Linked DNA regions of Drosophila melanogaster. The protein of the gene in region 2 interacts with the protein of the main gene of each other region in a pairwise test. Each region holds a gene or a part of one and is shown on either strand. Other genes may lie near its edges. The genes, in order: CG12895 and tadr.

What was found.
Region 1: the proteins of tadr (region 2) and CG12895 interact in a two-hybrid assay, tested with the Drosophila melanogaster proteins (one large-scale study listed by BioGRID).

What each region holds. Positions count from the first base shown.
Region 1 is NT_033778.4:10,434,690-10,441,048, forward strand, and holds CG12895 (uncharacterized protein), read right to left. Parts: upstream 2,694-6,359; 5' UTR 2,649-2,693; coding exon 2,631-2,648; intron 2,575-2,630; coding exon 2,393-2,574; intron 2,331-2,392; coding exon 2,060-2,330; 3' UTR 1,909-2,059; downstream 1-1,908. Other genes in the region: RanBPM (Ran-binding protein M), read left to right, coding at 1-96, 229-340, 397-533. UniProt on the Drosophila melanogaster protein: Plays an essential role in the assembly of succinate dehydrogenase (SDH), an enzyme complex (also referred to as respiratory complex II) that is a component of both the tricarboxylic acid (TCA) cycle and the mitochondrial electron transport chain, and which couples the oxidation of succinate to fumarate with the reduction of ubiquinone (coenzyme Q) to ubiquinol.
Region 2 is NT_033779.5:21,071,479-21,082,719, reverse strand, and holds tadr (torn and diminished rhabdomeres), read right to left. Parts: upstream 7,316-11,241; 5' UTR 7,019-7,315; coding exon 7,005-7,018; intron 5,362-7,004; coding exon 5,216-5,361; intron 5,158-5,215; coding exon 4,963-5,157; intron 4,627-4,962; coding exon 4,535-4,626; intron 4,450-4,534; coding exon 4,312-4,449; intron 3,754-4,311; coding exon 3,599-3,753; intron 3,431-3,598; coding exon 2,764-3,430; intron 2,684-2,763; coding exon 2,585-2,683; intron 2,520-2,584; coding exon 1,968-2,519; coding exon of another isoform or gene 1,866-1,967; 3' UTR 1,667-1,865; downstream 1-1,666.

The DNA.
Region 1 (6,359 bases), on a different chromosome or scaffold from region 2:
GAGAAGATCCTTGAGTTCGGCAAGGAACTGTCCAGCATGGGCCAGCAGCTGGAGAAGGAGAACCTAATGACTGAAGAGGAGCGTCAAATGTTGGAGGTAAACTATAAAAATGTATAAACAATAGAAACTGGTATCTTGCAGACTAAGCACTCTTTGTATTTGAAAAATAACTTCAATAAGAATATGATTATCCGTAATCGAGAGATATTCAATTTATGGTTGTTACAGGATGCATTTAGTCTGATTGCCTACTCTAATCCTTGGTCCAGTCCGCTGGGCTGGTTGCTGTGTCCCTCGCGACGTGAGAGTGTTTCCACCACACTCAACTCGGCCATATTGGGTAAGTCTTTAAACACTTGTCTCGAAACGAAGTTACTAATTACTATGATTATGCAGAGTCCCTGAACTTCGAGCGTCGTCCGCCGCTGGAATACCTGGTGGCTCACGCCTCGGAGCTGATCAAGGTGATCGGACAGCACTCGCTGGGCGAGGACGCTTTCATTACCATCGACGATGTGTTCCCGCAAAATTGACCCAGTTCCCCGACGCTGCTGAAGATGTTCGAGACCACGCTGACCCTGCCGCGAACCAGTGTGCTTACGGAACCGTTGGGCAGCGCCGGAACCGGATCTGGGCCCTCCACATCAACGGCTGCCGTGGCAGTTCAGACCAGCAAACGACGCCGAAGGCGGCGTAACAAACGTCGCCGCAAATCCTCCCTGTCCAGCAATACCGATGCCCCGTCGTCGCGGACCTACGATCCCGTGATGACGGGCAGTACGCTCCGGTCGGCAGCTGTGGCATCGGTGGGCGGGGGCACGGGCACGGGACCAGTGCGTCGGGGTCGTCGCAGGAGCGGGGTCAGCTCATCTTCATCGGCGGCAGCGGCTGCAGCAGCGGCAGCGGAGGAGGAGGCGGAAGAAGCGGAAGCGGAGGCGGCTCGCCAGGAGGAGGAGGAAGCGGAAATCTTGAGCGGAAACAGCAGCCCATCGATGTTCGTCGATCCGCAGGACTTCTTCGAGACACTGGACTAAATTTAGATTATTTACAATTTGCAGTAGGTTAAATTTTGTTGTTACTTCCGTTCTCTTTCTTTTTTACCTGCGCAACCGGCTTCAGTGCGCCTATTTAAAACTAATCGCCGTTCTTTTAATTGTTCGATTATGCTAAAGATGCTATGCGTTTGGCGGCCTTTGATTTGGCGTGATTTTTAATAACTTTTAACATATATTTTATATAGCCTCTCTAAGCATAAAGTGTGTAATATTATGATGTATAATTAAATTTGCGAAATGTGCTGCGACACGACCCTTGAAATTGAATTAGCCCTTTGTTTTTCGCTTCCACCGCCCGAAACACAACAATCACACACCAAAATATAATCTAGAATTGATAGTGAAGGGACTAGCCTGGAGCAAAAGCTGTTCAATCATCTCCTTAGCATGTTAATATAGAACCGAATCCATAGTTAACTGGTAGACATTCGCGTTTTAATTCTCCGTGTTTTCAGCGATTTTCGATGGACTCCGCGCCATCCCGTGTCTTGTGGCAAGACTAAGCAAAAGCAAATGAACATTTTAAGTGTAATGTTTCGCTATAGTGTTTAAGCGTATTAAAATTTAATCTATATATACAAGATTGGTCATACACACATTCGGCAAACATGAATAGAATTTAACTGGATAATCGTTTAAATATATTGTATGGATGTGTATTTCAGGAAAGCGAGAACTGTGTTTTAAAGGGGGTTCAAATTGGATTAAATATATGCCATTCTGACAATGTGTTCAGTTTTATATATTAAAATTGTATCTTTTCAAATGTCATGATTTGTTGATTAAGCTGAAGTTTTCAACAAATAAAAATAAAAATGAAAGCACATTCAAATTACCAAATCACTTGCAACCGTATTATTTATTATTCCGTATAAATGATCGTTTTTAAATACCAGGTAAAATGCAAGTTCAAGTCATTGGTCTTTTAAGGATCAGGAGTAGAATAACACATTCATTTAATACATTGTTTTGTATGCTTATATATATAATATAGTTTATAATGTTCACAAATCCGGCTGCCTTATCCTTTGCACTTTTTCATGATTTTTGACGTGCTCCTTTAGCAGACGCATTATTTCGGTATCGAATTGAGGAGGTGTTGGCTTGGTATCGGTGGCCCAGTAGAATATATCCCAGTCGTTGCTGACACCATTGATCAACTGATCGTACTCGGCGGTCTGCTCGGCATTGAAGTCCTTCAAATGCTTGGCCACAAAAGTGCTCAGCAAGAGATCGTTTTCCAGCATTCCGCGTTTCCTGCTTTGATACAAAAGGCTGCACAAGATAATGAATGATCATAAGTAGGAGTTTGGGATATTTTCATTTTAAGCGTATACCGCTGCTTGCGAGTTTCCAGCGGCTCATCGGGACGGACAGGATATTCCGGAACTGGCAAATGCGGCGGATCATCGTAGTCCACAATTTCCCCGGGTGTTGTGTACTCAGTTTTGTCCAAATTGCTGGCGAGGCGACTTTGGGCCATCATAGGTAGTTGCAGGCGACGGCCTACCGTAGATACCTGTGTCCAATTAAGCAATCAATTATATTTTACTACATTTGGGGCCATAAACTTACTATAAATTGCCGCAACATTTTAGGAAACGACCAAAACAATGATATAACGACAGTGTTGGCTAAGAAAGTTAAGTATAATCGATAGATTCCTGCTATAATAATCGGCTGTTGCTATAAATAGTGCTGGAAAGTGCACACTTTGTTGAATTAATCATTTATTTTATTTAACCGTTCAAACCTCAGGCGAATTTAAATTAAAATAGTTGTTTTATTTTAAATATGAATATATTTGGGAGAATATGCACTGCAATTGTTATGAAAGGTATGCGAATTTTTAATAATTATTTGCAATAATATAAATAAAAAATATATCTCTATTTGTATCACTTAAAGCTCAAATATTGTATTCATGAGATCCTTTTGAGTGGCCTGCTATTTAAAATCCAGATAAGTTTCAAAACATAATAAAAAAATAAATGTCTGTACATACAAAGTGATGCAAAATATTTATTGAAACTAAAGTGAGCATGTTCTTTCATATTTATATAAAACATTTTATTAAATTATATGTATATAAATAGCGGAAGATTTTAACAAATTTAAATTTTTAAATATAAGCTTGTTTTGCAGCAGCTGTTGTTGCGGCCAGTGCTGGTCAACAGCCACCCCCGCCGCGTCCAGTGCTGCGCACCGACGCCGCCAACAGCTGTTCGAACGCCTCGCTCTGCAGTTGGAAAGAGCGAACGAAGCGAGAGAGAGCAGCTAAATTTTCGCACACCAGAAAAGTGCAATTTACCAATATCACTGCGGCCAAAAATACAAGTGCAAGTGCTCGGCAAGTGCAACGGTAAACTATCACGATCGGTGCAATAAATACAGCGAGTCGCGAAAAAGAAGCGCAAAGCGAACGGAACCAATAAGAACAGCCAAACGCAAAAGAGAGCCTCCTGCACACACACGCACACAGCAGGCTGAAGCAGACCCACACACACGCATACACTAGTGCGGTGTGTATACGACTGGAAAACTAGGCGGTGGTAAATGTGAAGCTGAAAAAAGCTGAAAAAAAGGAAAAGGAAAACTCGTGGGGTGGTGGGTGGCGGCCCAGTGGGCGGGGGGTGTGGCGTGTGCAGCGCGTGAGAGTGCGTAGTGCGTGCGTGTGAGTGAGTGAGTGTGTGCGCGCGTGTGAGTGAAACAGCGACAAACTAAATGAAAATTTATACATCCGAAATGGTTAACAGTTTGCATAAAAACGGCATTACTTTTTGCATATGTTAATGTGCTTAGGCAAACGCTCGAAAAAGAAAACTCCACAACCCACCGCCTTTTTTTCCACCAACCCGGCGCTTTTTTAGCGCCTACGCCCACGCTTAATACATACACACTGCATAAAAAACATACAAATAAAACCAAAAAAAAAAAAAAACAAACAAAATTTATAAAAGTTTTATTAAAAGTGTGACAACAAAAAATAAGTGGTATCCAAAAAATAAGCTTGAGTTTTTGGCTCTTTGACCTCGAGACTAATTCACTTACATGATAAATTACCATCGTTCTTATCGCGATCCAGCATTATCTGATGGATTTATCTTATCAGCGCGATTGATGAATTTTGTATCGATATCGCAAACATGCTCCATATGCAAATTAGCTGGCTATCATTGCTTTTATTTTTACTTTGCGTCTGCTGATAAAAAACAAAAGCAACATAATTGATACAGTGCGCGGCCCATTGCACAGACAGTGGCGGTCATAAAATTAGTGCTTGTCTCAGTACAGTACAACATCCATAGAGCGAACGATGTGTTCCATAAACCTTGTAACATCAGTTTAAAATAATCTTTTTAACTATTACATACAAATTAATATACAGCTGTGTTTCTCATAATAGTTGAGTAACAGAAAGAATATTACAATTACAATTACAATTTGTGTTTATACACAGCAGACAAAATTAATTTAAGATAACTCAACATTATTATTTTGAACTCGGCTGTATATTTAACACATCCTTGATATTCATTGGTTCGCCTTATCGATCGCGCACTGTTTATAGTGAATCATCCGCTGACCCGTGTATTTGTTATTGTTGATGGGTTCAATACTCCATTTCAGTTGAAATCGTTAAACTGTACATAAGCAAATAAGACATAAAGAAAAAAGTCCAGGAAAATTGGAAAACAAAAGCCCGAAAACCGAAAAGCCCCGTGTAAATCCGAATCCGAATCCAAATCAGTATCCAAACCCAACCACAATGGGCTGCACCACATCCGCCGAAGAACGCGCCGCCATCCAGCGATCCAAACAGATCGAGAAGAATCTAAAGGAGGATGGAATCCAGGCGGCCAAGGACATCAAGCTCCTGCTGCTGGGTAAGTGCACTTTTCGTCGCTTTTTCTCGTTTTTCCACTTGGGTTTTTCTCACCGGAAATGGAAATCCTGCTCAGCGTTTACCTTTCCACTCGACTCGACTCTATTGTTCGTTCTATTTTGGTGGAAATTGCTGGTTTATCTATCGGCCGCCAGATTCCGGGGCACTTGGAAAATTTTATTTTCGGTTTTATGTGCCGATAGATAGGGGGATATTTATTGCACACACTTTTACTCTGCGGCGGAAATGCTGGATGTACTGGACGCAATTTTGGATTAGCTGCTCTTCAATTTCCATCAAGGCTTATATCAGAGTTCACATTTTTTAGAAGATTCAAAGACTGGAATAAAAGTAAATTCAAAAACTATGATTTTTGTATGTACTGACTGGTTATTTAAATTAAATGTAATGACTTGTTGCCCCACAAAAGGAATCGAACTCAAGGTTATTCCACTCTATTTGAGTGCTGATGAATCGATTCCATGACAAAACTATTTTTAGCGTGTTTTTTTTGGCCAAGGCGAAACCGAAGTAATTTGGGTCAACTTTTGGGTGTTGCATGTGGCATGGATATCCGAAAATAAAATGGACTCATGCACCACTGTGCATGCAACATCTTAGACAATGGCAGCAGCAACAGTTGCATCCGCCCTCGTGGCAGGCGAGTGTGAAAACCTAAACAGTTTCGAGGAGCCATGTGGCCTGCGGATGACTCGGTCCGATTAAAGTGGTTTCAGTACCAAACAGTTCGATAGTGATGAAATAATTACAATGTTTTTAAAAAATATATAAAATAATGACTAGAATTAGCCAAATCTAAGAAAACAGTGCAAATTATCTGAACATAGCTTAAGAATTTAAAGATGCTAAAAAATCATCATGTAGATATTGTCTTTGCTGTCATCTCTATCCTGCATCAGCCTGAATCTCATCGTCGAGTGCATCTGTGAGCTGCAGCTGCAGCCTTAGCCTTAGCCTTAGATTTTGTCCAAGTGCGTCTGCATCCGCCAAAAGATGAGGGCAATCGACGCCACTTGACATTGAAACAATTGCACGTGTGTGCCAGTGGGCGGGTGTGCACCATGTAGCATGGTTTCGAGGTGCAGTGTTTGTTAACCTGGTTGCGCCACTGACACCGAAATGTCAGTTAATCCCATTGACTTTGACTTGCCCCCGAAAACGAGATAGGGATGCAGTCAGGCAGAAAAAGGACAAAGCTGCAATATGCACGGGAATTTCTCTTTCACTTTAACATTGTACACAAACATGTTGCGAAAAACAAGCAAAATCTCCATATCGTGGATGCACTTAAAGCAGCATTCAAACAAACCAAAAGTTAAAGATATAAAGTTTACAAAACATTTAATGCTTAAACCAAAAATAAACCAGATCAAAGTACTTCTTATATGACTTAGTTA
Region 2 (11,241 bases):
GACTTTTGTATAATTACAAAAGCGAAAAAATGCTTGTACAATTGCATTTGTAGGTCATTATCCTAGATGGAGGCAGAAATCTATGTCATTTATTTTCATTTAAGATAGCTAGTCCTTTCTTATCCCCCATAATCTTAAAGAGATATCTTTAAAGGTTCGTTTCTGGAGGCATTTCAGTTTGAATCTAGAAGCGTAGCGGATAAGATAGTTTTTTTCGCTCCAAATATGGATTTACTAAGTTCAGAGGAATGCCATCTAATAGCTCAGAGAACCCTTTCAGTTGTCAAAAAAGACAATGTGATACTTATAAACTCACAGGTGGATGCAGGCTCCAAGGATCTCATGGGCTATATGGGAGAATACTACAAATTGCACTTGGAAGCGGAGGTTAAAGGCGACAAGAAAAAATATTTCCTTAACTATTTTATTAAAAGCCTACCCCGAAAAAATGAGCCACAAAGAGAGGAATGCGAACGCAAGGGAGTTTTTCAAAAGGAGTCTGCTCTATATAGCCAGATATTACCTAAGATTCAAAAATATGGTAAGTCTATTAAAAATCTATATATTGTTCTAGGAAGACGTATTTACGTACATTTTTTTAGCCACTAAGAAGCTTTATCCAAAATGTTACTACAGTCGGAATGATATCCTAGTGTTAGAAGATCTTACCCAGGACTACAGACATCTTAGAGCCAATGAATACTATACTTTAGATCATTATAAAATCGTTTTGGAACACCTATCTGAATTACATGCAGCTAGTATCGCTTGGGAAGAAAAAGAAAATGTAAAGATTTACGAAAGTTACAAAAATGTGCTCATTGAGTTACATTTGGATTCAAATAACTCGTGGTACATAACTGGACTTAAGGTTGGTAGATCGGTTACGAAATATGAAAACTGAATTGTTACACTTTATAAATTCCATAGGCAATCGTTTTTTTAGCAGCACGTAATCCGCATTTTCAAACAATGAAAGCTCAGAACTTTATTCAAGATAAGCTCTACAATCTTCTAACCAAGGCTGAAGAACTGGTCGCCCCCTCAAAGACTATAAGAAATGTACTCTGTCATCGAGACACTTGGGATCATAATATTGTGTACTATTTCAACAAGGAATCTTCAGTATTACCTAATGCCTGCTGCATTGTAGATTTTCAACTCACCCAGTATTGTTCTCCCACCTTAGATGTTTTATTCCTACTCTATATTGTAGCCTCCGCTGAAGTCAGAAGGGCGATTTATGATGAGTGTCTCGAGCACTATTATAAGAATCTACAGCATCACCTGGATCGTCTGGGTTTGGACAAGAATCTCATAACAGAAAATAACTTTAGAAAAGAGTGCCAAAGAACTCGATTGGCAGCCCTTGTTATTTGGGCTCTCACCGAACCTCAGACAAAAATGTCACCCAGTATTTCAAATAGATAACGATCCGAAGAACCGGAGAAGTTTGACTATTACCTCAACTGCGATCGGAGTGAGTTATTACTCAGGGTAATCGAGATTCAACCTGGTTACGAGGAGACCATTATGACGCCTATCAGGGAACTGGTGGATTACCTCATGGAGAATGAGAATTTATATATTTAGATGGCAGATAACATTCTATGCAGCTACGAAACTCTTACAATGTAAAATGATGTAACGATTGATTATACATTTTCGTTTTGAAAAATTTAATTTATTCTGAACTTAGTTGTACAGAGAGTCGCCTAGCTATATATTTGTAAATACATAAGTAAATTTCGACAATCAATTTAGCTAGCTAGAAAATTTCAGGCATATGTGGCTCGAAGCTGGATCGTCCTGGGGATCCGCATAGCAATTAAATAGTTTTCTAAACGGATTTTAAAAGGCGCAAGCTAATCAGTCCAGCAATCTTCGTCATCCTCCTCGTCAAAGTCGCGCACATTGAAGTCCTCGTGGAACAGGTCTTCGCCTTCCTCCTCCGAGGACTCCGACTGTCATCTGTGCTCGTTGATGCGCTGTGGCAAGCCGACTACGCCCATTCCCTTGGGCGGTCTGGGTATCCGGATGCTGGTGGAGGGACCCGCTAAATTTGATGCCGATCCCGACGCTGACCCCATGTTGCTCTTTCCCGAGACACTAGGTATCAGCTGGGCATTCATTATGGTGGTGTGCTCAAAACAATTGCAACAGTATTTATCGCATCTGATCACCAGAATGAGTCCAGCCATCAGCCAGATAAGCAATCCCGGCCAGGAATGTATAGCACAGCCACTGAATAGGATCACGCCCATCAGCAGCGACATTCCACAGATCACGGGACTCACGTTGATCACACTGCCCGTGTATTTGGGTATAAAACCCATCATAATGGTCACGATAAGAACCCCAATCCCTCCGGTCAACGCTGCCGGAGCCCAGTGCATCATGAGCCCGGCAATGCATAGGGCAATGCCCAATCCAATCACCACAATGGCGAAAATGGTCACGCGCCAGGAACTCACCGTAGGCACTCGCACACTGCGCTCCAAAGGTCCGGCGGTGGTTACCTGGAGAGTTGGAGGATGATTACATGTAGTGTCTATATTTACGTGTATTCATGGAGAGTTCTTACCTTAATCTTTTCACGATACTCATCCACAATGGCATCAATGTCGGTGGAGGTGTCCGAGTCACTTTTGTCAAATTTATCTGGGTACTCAAAGTCAGATGGCTTCATGCAAAATGTCAGAATATATATTTTTAATTGACATTTACCCTTAATAAACTTAATTAAGCACAGAAATCACTTACCGGTGGCTCGCCATCGGAAAGAATGGTGGACTCCACATCCCTGCCCTCTCGTTGAGGACAGGGCGAGGTGGGTTCACCCAGGAGCAGCCACTCCTTTTCCAGCTCTTGTTTGTTCCTGGGCTTGGTCTTCGGCTTTTTTAAGTTACTGTGCTTGGGCAGACCGATCTTCCAGAGACTTCTCTTTAAGCGACTCGAACTGGAAGTTGCGGCACTGCTGTAGCTGCTGCTCTTGGCAAACGGTGCTGTGGATAGGCGACTGTACGACAGTGAAGACTCGCTGCTGGGCGCCATATATTTGGGTCTGTAAGGGATGTATAGGAGGTAAAGGGCCCTCAGGAATACCCCACCCATGTGGCCAGCGGCTAATGTGTAACTGAGATGCTGTAGTGGACAGGCGAAGGCCAACATGGCACACATGCTGCCGGCGATGAACACAGCCAGCACGGGGTTACCACTCTCCGAGCTCTCATAACTGATCTGCTTGGACAGTATTCTCCACTCCGAGGTGGCCAGTCGCACAACAATACCATATAGTTCCGGAAAGAGCTCCAGAAATGCCGCCGAACTCGTCAAAAGCAACATGCAAGCCGAGGCAGGAACCAACTTATGGAAGCCGTTTTCATCCAGAATGTTGAACAAGGGCACGGCTACATAGTCCTCCTGAGATCTGAAAGAACACATAAAATGTATGTATGTATGTCAAGCCACGCTATTGGTTTAAATATACATCATCATTAAGGATATCTCTAGTACAAGTTCACAAAACATTTGTACAGTAGCCGATAACAGTTGTACAATATGTCTTTTTCCATTATTATCGCATTGTCAGACTCACCTATAATGCACCACCGTCGACAGACAAATGGCCGTCAGCAGCAGCGAAGTACTGACCAATCCCGTAATTAGAGTCGCCGTGAATCGTCCACCTCGAAGTTGTTGGGGCCAATCGCCGGGGAAGGAGTAGGTGAGCAGGGCAGTACCCAGGAAGACCTGAGTGTGGTGGTTTGAACTAGTTATCAGACGGATAATTTTGCAAATAGCAGCAGACTTTCCCCACCAATGCTGGTTGCTAGTGTATAAATTGACTTCTCTATGAAATTTTTTGATTTCTCTATGATTTTTTTGGTCTATAAAAGGCACTACAAATTTTTAAATTACTGGACTGAATAACTTAAAAAGTAATACATTATGCTGTATTTAAATCAAAGCTCTTTTATTACGAATACTCTAAGTATTACCAACTCCGGCAAACTAAGCGCCAAAAAATTTTCCATGTTTTTGCTGTCTGACTGGCGGCTTTCCGCGAACGAATACCAGTGAAAGGAGGCCAAAAAAAAACAAAAACGAAACGCAGCAGTACGTGTCATAATCAAAAGCCCGTATCCTGTGGATTCAGCTGCGGTCACGCAAATGTTCCCGGTCACGACAGCGAAAATCGATGGGACTTGGCAAACAAAAAAAAAAAAAACAAAGCTCAGACTGGCACAGTGCACTGACCCACTATCGAAGTTCCAGTTGGTATGGGGTCTAACGTCTACGGCCACTTACACTGCTAATGCCATCGGGCTGGAAGTAGCTATCCGCAGACCAGGCCAACATGTCGCCCCGCCACCAGCCGACGGCGCTTAAAATGGCGTTCAAGCCAAACATGCCAAGAGTCAGGATGAGGCTGAAGGCCCTCGAGTGCTGTGAATACGCAAATGCAGTGAGTGTCGCGATAAGTGGGTGGATTTGGATTTAAACTCGGCTTCGGATTCGGAGGAGTACCCACCTCCAGGCCCAGCATGAACATCCCAGTGACGAGGAAGACAACCGACACGCCAAGAACATCCGGCCACGGCTCATTCGCGGGTGCATTGCGGCCTGAAAGTAGGCAACATAATATTTGAACAGGTCGGCCAGCACAGTTCACGCCAAAATATTACGCATACATAACAAAATATATGCGATATGATAATATACATCAAGTTTATTATTTTATGACAAAAACGAAATTAATATATATTTAATAATTACAGTTCTGTTTGTTTCTTAGAGCACCATATGGTACTTAATTATTTTCGAAGAAGTGGCTTTACTTATAAGTATGTATGTATAATAGTTTGCTAATTAGGTCGTATCTCGTATTTCTAATGGTTTTGTTATTCCTTGAACCAATGTATTGTGCTACTTTATTTACAAGCATCTGTTACCACTCACCCAATATGAGAATCCTGGCCAGACCTCCGGTCATGGCGTCCAAGCAGGCACTGAGGGTCCTCGCCAGGGCAGCGCAGGCACACACGGTGGCCAGAGCATCTAGCCAGATGGCCAGAAACAAACAGCTAAAGTCGAATTTATTTGTGGCCCGCACATACGGCATTTGCAGGCTGCGGAGGCTAGTTTTACAGCGGGCTGGAACAAAGAATTAACTTACTTTGGAATATTTACAAGTATTCCACCTAACTCCCACCTGCCATTGCGCCATAAACGGTGGCCAAGACAACGCCAACCAGCAGGCTGGGAGCGGAAGCCTCGTTGTAGACAATCAGATAGGAGATTACCGAGGCTCCGAGGGCCAAACGGGCGCCACTGCCGCTGCAGAGCACGTCCAGCAGGCTGCAAGGATAATTCAAAGGACGCACGGGGGCAAGTTAAATTAAATTGCCTGCGAGGAACTGGCGTAATGAATACAAAATTGTGCAAATTAGACTGCTCATTTCCTTATACTTTTATGTTGGCTTAAGAATCGTAGCGAAAAGATGTGTATAATTAAATATATATGCGGTCAGAATACTAAATGGTTTTGGAAGTCTTTTAATGACATTTTTACTCGGAACTTTATCTGAGCATTTATGAAGACTTAATTGCACACTTACTTTTAATTGAAGGGATTAATCATGCGCAAAACATTATTTTTAGATCAAAGTTCGCAAAGCCCATAATAATACCATTGGCTTCAATATACTGGCAAAAATGAGTATGGTTTGACTTAACTTTTTCGACTGATTTTACTTGCGAAGGTGCATTTGCCTACATGACGGAGTGGAACTAAGGACTCAGTCACCTTTGACGGGATATGACTTCTGTGGTTAGACACCCACAGAAACACGAACGGAAATCCATACAACTTTAAGTAACCACAACCACGCTTACAAGCACAGTTTTTGGCGCCAAACTGACATTGGGAGGGATTACAGCACAAAAAATTCTTTCATAAGGAAGGTAAGAAAAATATATATTTTTTTAAATCATTTTTATCTATTTTAATTTTAATGGGAAATTAATAAACATATTTTCCCAGTCAACATTTAAATAAACATTTCATCAAGCAATTTTCAATTATATGTGGTTGCAGTGCAAGAACAAACAGGGAAAGAGTGGTGAAAGGAGATCGCGCCTGTTTGCTCTGAGGCTCTGGTGGCTTTGCCTCCTCTCGGATGCCATGAGTCATAGCCTGTTTTTTGGGGATATCCCCTTACGCCATTGGTATTGAAGCTTCTATTTTCCTCCCTTTCCCAGGCCAATTTTCTGCTGCTTGTAATTATGTGTACTCTGTGTGCATATTTTAAGCAGCTCGATTATCCTAATTACATGGCCAGCTGCTGGCGGGCTATCAGGTTTCTAGCTTTGGCCTTGCTAAGCTGGGAGTGAAATAATAGTGGGGGACACTTTTTCGTGAATCTAATTTTCCACATTTTCCGAACGAATCTTTGACCCAGCTTAGAGAATGAGATGCTTTAAAACAGTCAAGGTACACTTTGCGGTACACTTAGGTTTGTTTATAGTTGTTTCTTGTATATGTAAAATTATCCGTTCGTATCGAACTTGTTGAGCTCCCAAGAATGATATTTGAATACATAACTAAATAAACAAGATTTTTTTCCTATGTCCTTGTGTCTCTGTTTGTCTCCGTATCTTCATAGAATTAGAATTCATGCACAGCTTGAATATATCAAGTATACGCACAGTGGTCGGGCACTTGAATGGGCCAAGGTAAATCGCAGCGAAAAAGCCAGTCAGTGCGACGCCGCCAGAGGAAGAACGAAAGGAAAGCAAATACCAGTCAGAAGACAACAGAAAAACTAAAACGAGGAGACCAAGAACGAGGAAGAATACCCACACACATGCCAATCAAAAATCAATTTATTGATTACATGACAAATATCAGCCATAACAACTGCCAGATATGGTCGAAATGGCTGTCGAGTATAGGCCAAATGTATTTATTGTATGAATGGATATGGGCTAGAGAATCCTACCTGCCACTCGACATTGTCGTTGTTGTAGCAAAGGTTACTGTGGTTTTCACTCAGCTAGCAATCGGCCAGGTTCAAAATGTGATTTGCTGCTCATCTTGTGGCAGAACTTGGCCAACAATGACTGCCATTTTGTAGTGATCTTTTATTAAAATTTATATTAGATACTCCAACACTTCAGCACTTGAGCTTTAGCCCTTAATTAGCCAACACGCTTGAGAGGTAACTTCTGCTCTTGACACGTAACCTGGTAAAATATGGGGGAAGTGCACAGGTAACGCGTAACCGCTCGCTTAAATTGGCCGCAATCCACTGAATGTTCACTTGAAGCTTTTCCTCCGCCGCCCAAACAGCTTTCGCCCGATTCCGACGCACAGCTGTCCACCGGATTCGGAATCGGATAAAGATTCGGATTCAATTCAATACTGTCCTGCGCAGTGGACGTTGTTTACGTTTACAGTTGGTTGGCCTGCCTTCTGCTCTTTGGTGAGAAAATGGGAAATGGGAAATGGGAAAGTGGGTTGGGTGGGGTGGAAAATGCGGAGGGTCTCTGCATTTGGTACTCGAAAGAGTTGCACAAGTGCAATCGTTTTGCATAGCTAATGTACTTTATTTTTGAATTTACTGCAGCTCCGTCTATAAATATACTGATTTCCTCAATAAGAAATTTATATATAAGGAACACTCAAACTAAAGCTAATAAATCGTATACCTACTTAGTATTGATAAACATGGCGCCTAAGCTAATATTAGAATATCTTTTGCAACTCGGCGAAGCTAGAAAATCTGGTTATATTTCTTTGAATTCTACTGTCTAGACGACTTTTTATAATTATTTTTTTTGACTTCTCCCATAAATCCAACACATTTAAATGTACAGTTTTAATAAAACAAAGTATTCTCGGAATAACAATACTGCAAGTGATTTGAAAAATCACACTCCTCAATTTAAATCTTAAGGTGAAGTATGTGTACTTTTTTCATTCCGGCAACAAAAACCTAATACGAACATACAGAATTTAAGGTCACGTAATATAAATATCATCAAGATTACTAGTTTAGATTAGGAATAAAAACGAAATTAAGGAAGTACACCATAATCACATAGGTATGACAAACAACAACGTTTAACAAATGAAAGCCACATTTCAAATGTTTAGCACGTTAAATATTATTTTTACACCTATAAGTATTTTGCTCTTGCGTTCATTAGTTAAAGTGCATTCAAATGTGTATTGACGGGTTACTTTTAAAATGTAAAAACAAATCAATCAGGTATCTTAAGCTACCATTCTTTTATTATATTTTCGTTACGAAGTAAAATTTTCCATCTTTAAATAATAATTCCTACCTTCTTTTTAACGAGCCGAATGGAACCTAAAGAATATTATATTCAAAGTTGTTAGATCTGGCATTTATCTGAGAAGGCGACCTTGACTTGTGCAAATGACTCCCGCAAGTTGTGCTAAAATTTGAAACAAACAAATGCGAGAAGCCGCTAAAATAAACAGTTAAGACGGCTTCAAGCCCGATTGGAGACCTTGTGGTAGAAGGTAGAATCCTATCCTATCGAGAGTGTTCTATTTTCGGTGAAAAACATAACTAGTGGAGCTGGCTTTAGCAGCAATCTCTGAATTTGTCTAGAACGAAACGGGTTTTCTGTGGACAATCAAACGGCAGACAGCGGTCATAAAAACCAAAACAATAAAATGCAAACTATCTCAACTTATACCAAGCCGTTTAATTCGAACGTGTGCACTTCAGCAAAGTATCTCTGGAGTTTTTTAGAGGTTGCTCTCGTCAAATCAACGACTCCACGGATCGACCTTCTGACCAACTTTAACCGACGTTGGTCATAATTGGTCGGATGTTTGACCTTTTTACTTGTGATTTATTTACTAATTCAAGTAAAAATAAAGTTTCTTCTATTTTTGGCAAAGGCTACCTTGTCCGGTTTAAAAATAAAGTTTAGGCGAAATTTATGAGTGTTTCAAGCCGCCTACTATACTTTGATTGGGTCTTACTGTCTGTCTTACTTCGTACATTTGTTACTATATTAAATCAATACCATACCATCGATTTTCTTACAACATCTTACATAGGTTTCAGGCATGACGGACGTTCACGATAAGACTTTAGAGCATTTATGTTAATTGAAATCAAAGACAGAGACAATATAATCAAAATTCAATGTCATTTCGGTTTCATTTGTCTTTTTTCTTTGGGAATGTGGCTCTATGAAGTCGGAAGTTGTTGGTCAGGTTTACAAATAGCACTTTATTGGACGAAACAATTATGATTTGCTGTGGCAGATCAATGGTTAACAGACTCATCGAGATTTGTTTTCCCATATGTTAAAATTTTATGTGAAATCGACATTAAAATTCCGAAAAACAGTTTAAACGCATGTTATTTTTGACGTATAGTATTTAATATGTTAATTCTTATGACTCACTTGACTATTCTAGTAAGAATATATAAGCTGAGAATAATAATATAAGCTTGTTAATTAAATAGTGTTAGCTATTTGCAAATAGTGTATAAGCTACAGCTGAAAACGAATGTAATTTTGTAACTGTAATTTTTTTTTTTGTAATTAACTCTATATATATATATATTTAATATACTTTAACGAATCAGATGAAAATTAGTTTCACAAACAATAGAACCGGTATTGTTGGGTCCCCAAATCTACAAAATTCTACAAGCTCTGCAACGCAATTCGCGGGAACTAAAAAAGCCCGATATTCTTAACGAGAATCCCCTCAAGCATTTCAAATTTGCAAATAACCAAGAAATATAAAATACTTCAGAAGGCGAAGCGCAATTAGCACCACACATATGAGATTCCCAAGACTCACAAAAAATTGTTTACGGTAGCCAATCGATGACCATGACGCTATATGATTTTTGGCCAATAATTATCAAGCTCCTTATTGTAGTCAGATAAATCATAATTAATAATAATAAGCGAGGTTTAGGCTGTTCTAGCCAAATGGGCCATCATCGCCGGCACAGGAAATGTGAACAGCATAATGTCCAAGTCATCGGATAACACATGGCACAAAACAAAACGTTCGTTTTCGGTCATTACGAAACACTAACCGGAAGTCAGATGCTAAAACCAGAATTCTGATAGGAAGTAAAATAGGTTAACGTTCAGATTGGCGCTTGGCTTTCAAGACTCACCTTTGTGCTGGTTCTAACGGGTTTTTTGCGAAGGCTACCTGTTGATTCATTTGCGATTGTCTGCCTCTATCACGGGGTTCTTTTGGCCAACACAATCTGCGTGTTTTAAGCTTGGACACGGACTCGTATTTGGCCAGAGTGCAGCTTATATTTCACTTTCGGTCAACAGGGCACGAGGTTGAATTCTCGAAAAAGTTGAAAACATGCGCGCAGACCTGCTCGCTTTTGATGGCACAGAACAAATGGAAAATTGTTGTTTTGGGTTTAATTATGGCGGAAATTGGCAAGAAATAAATTGTGGTGAAGCGATTAAGAAAAGGGAAATATTTTATTTTGGTGGCGTAGTGTTGTTGAATAGCACTGATTAAACTGGGTTTATGCGGAGTTTGGCTACCGGAGAAATGATTGGACATCTGTTTTATGGCTAATATAACTGATTAAAAATGTCAAATTTCATTCTCAGTTCCTGTTAACGCCTAATGCTTATTATACCCGATACTCTTACTCTACGAGTACTAGATTCGTTGAAAGGTATATAAAATATTAATATTCTTGATCAGGATCAAATGTGTACGAACACATTTTTGAAAAACTTTTGGATATTTTTTCCTAATTTAATAAGTCATTAAATTTTTATCGATTTGTCAAAAAAACTGTTTGCCACGCCCACTCTAACTCTCTAATCGGTTCCGCCCACACTTTTGAACAATTTTTAAATTTTTTCTCGTTTTATTCCCCAATATTTATCGATATTCCAGAAAAATTATGAAATTTTCCATTCGCACTCACACTTGCTGAGTACGTCGTAGATACTCGTTATAGGTTTGTTCATTTTAAATACTAACGACTGTATTTGTTGAAGCCACCTGGCAACTCTGATTACCAAGTCGTGACTGAATCCCTCTCTTCAGAAAACAACCACTGAAACCTCAGAAGCCCAAAGGAACAGCTGAGTTCGCGCCCTTTTCAACATTCCCTCCAGCCCCTTTCATCCGCATTTTTTCTCTCACTGCGCCTGCGTCCCAAGTGTCAAAAATCGTCGCGAAAAGCA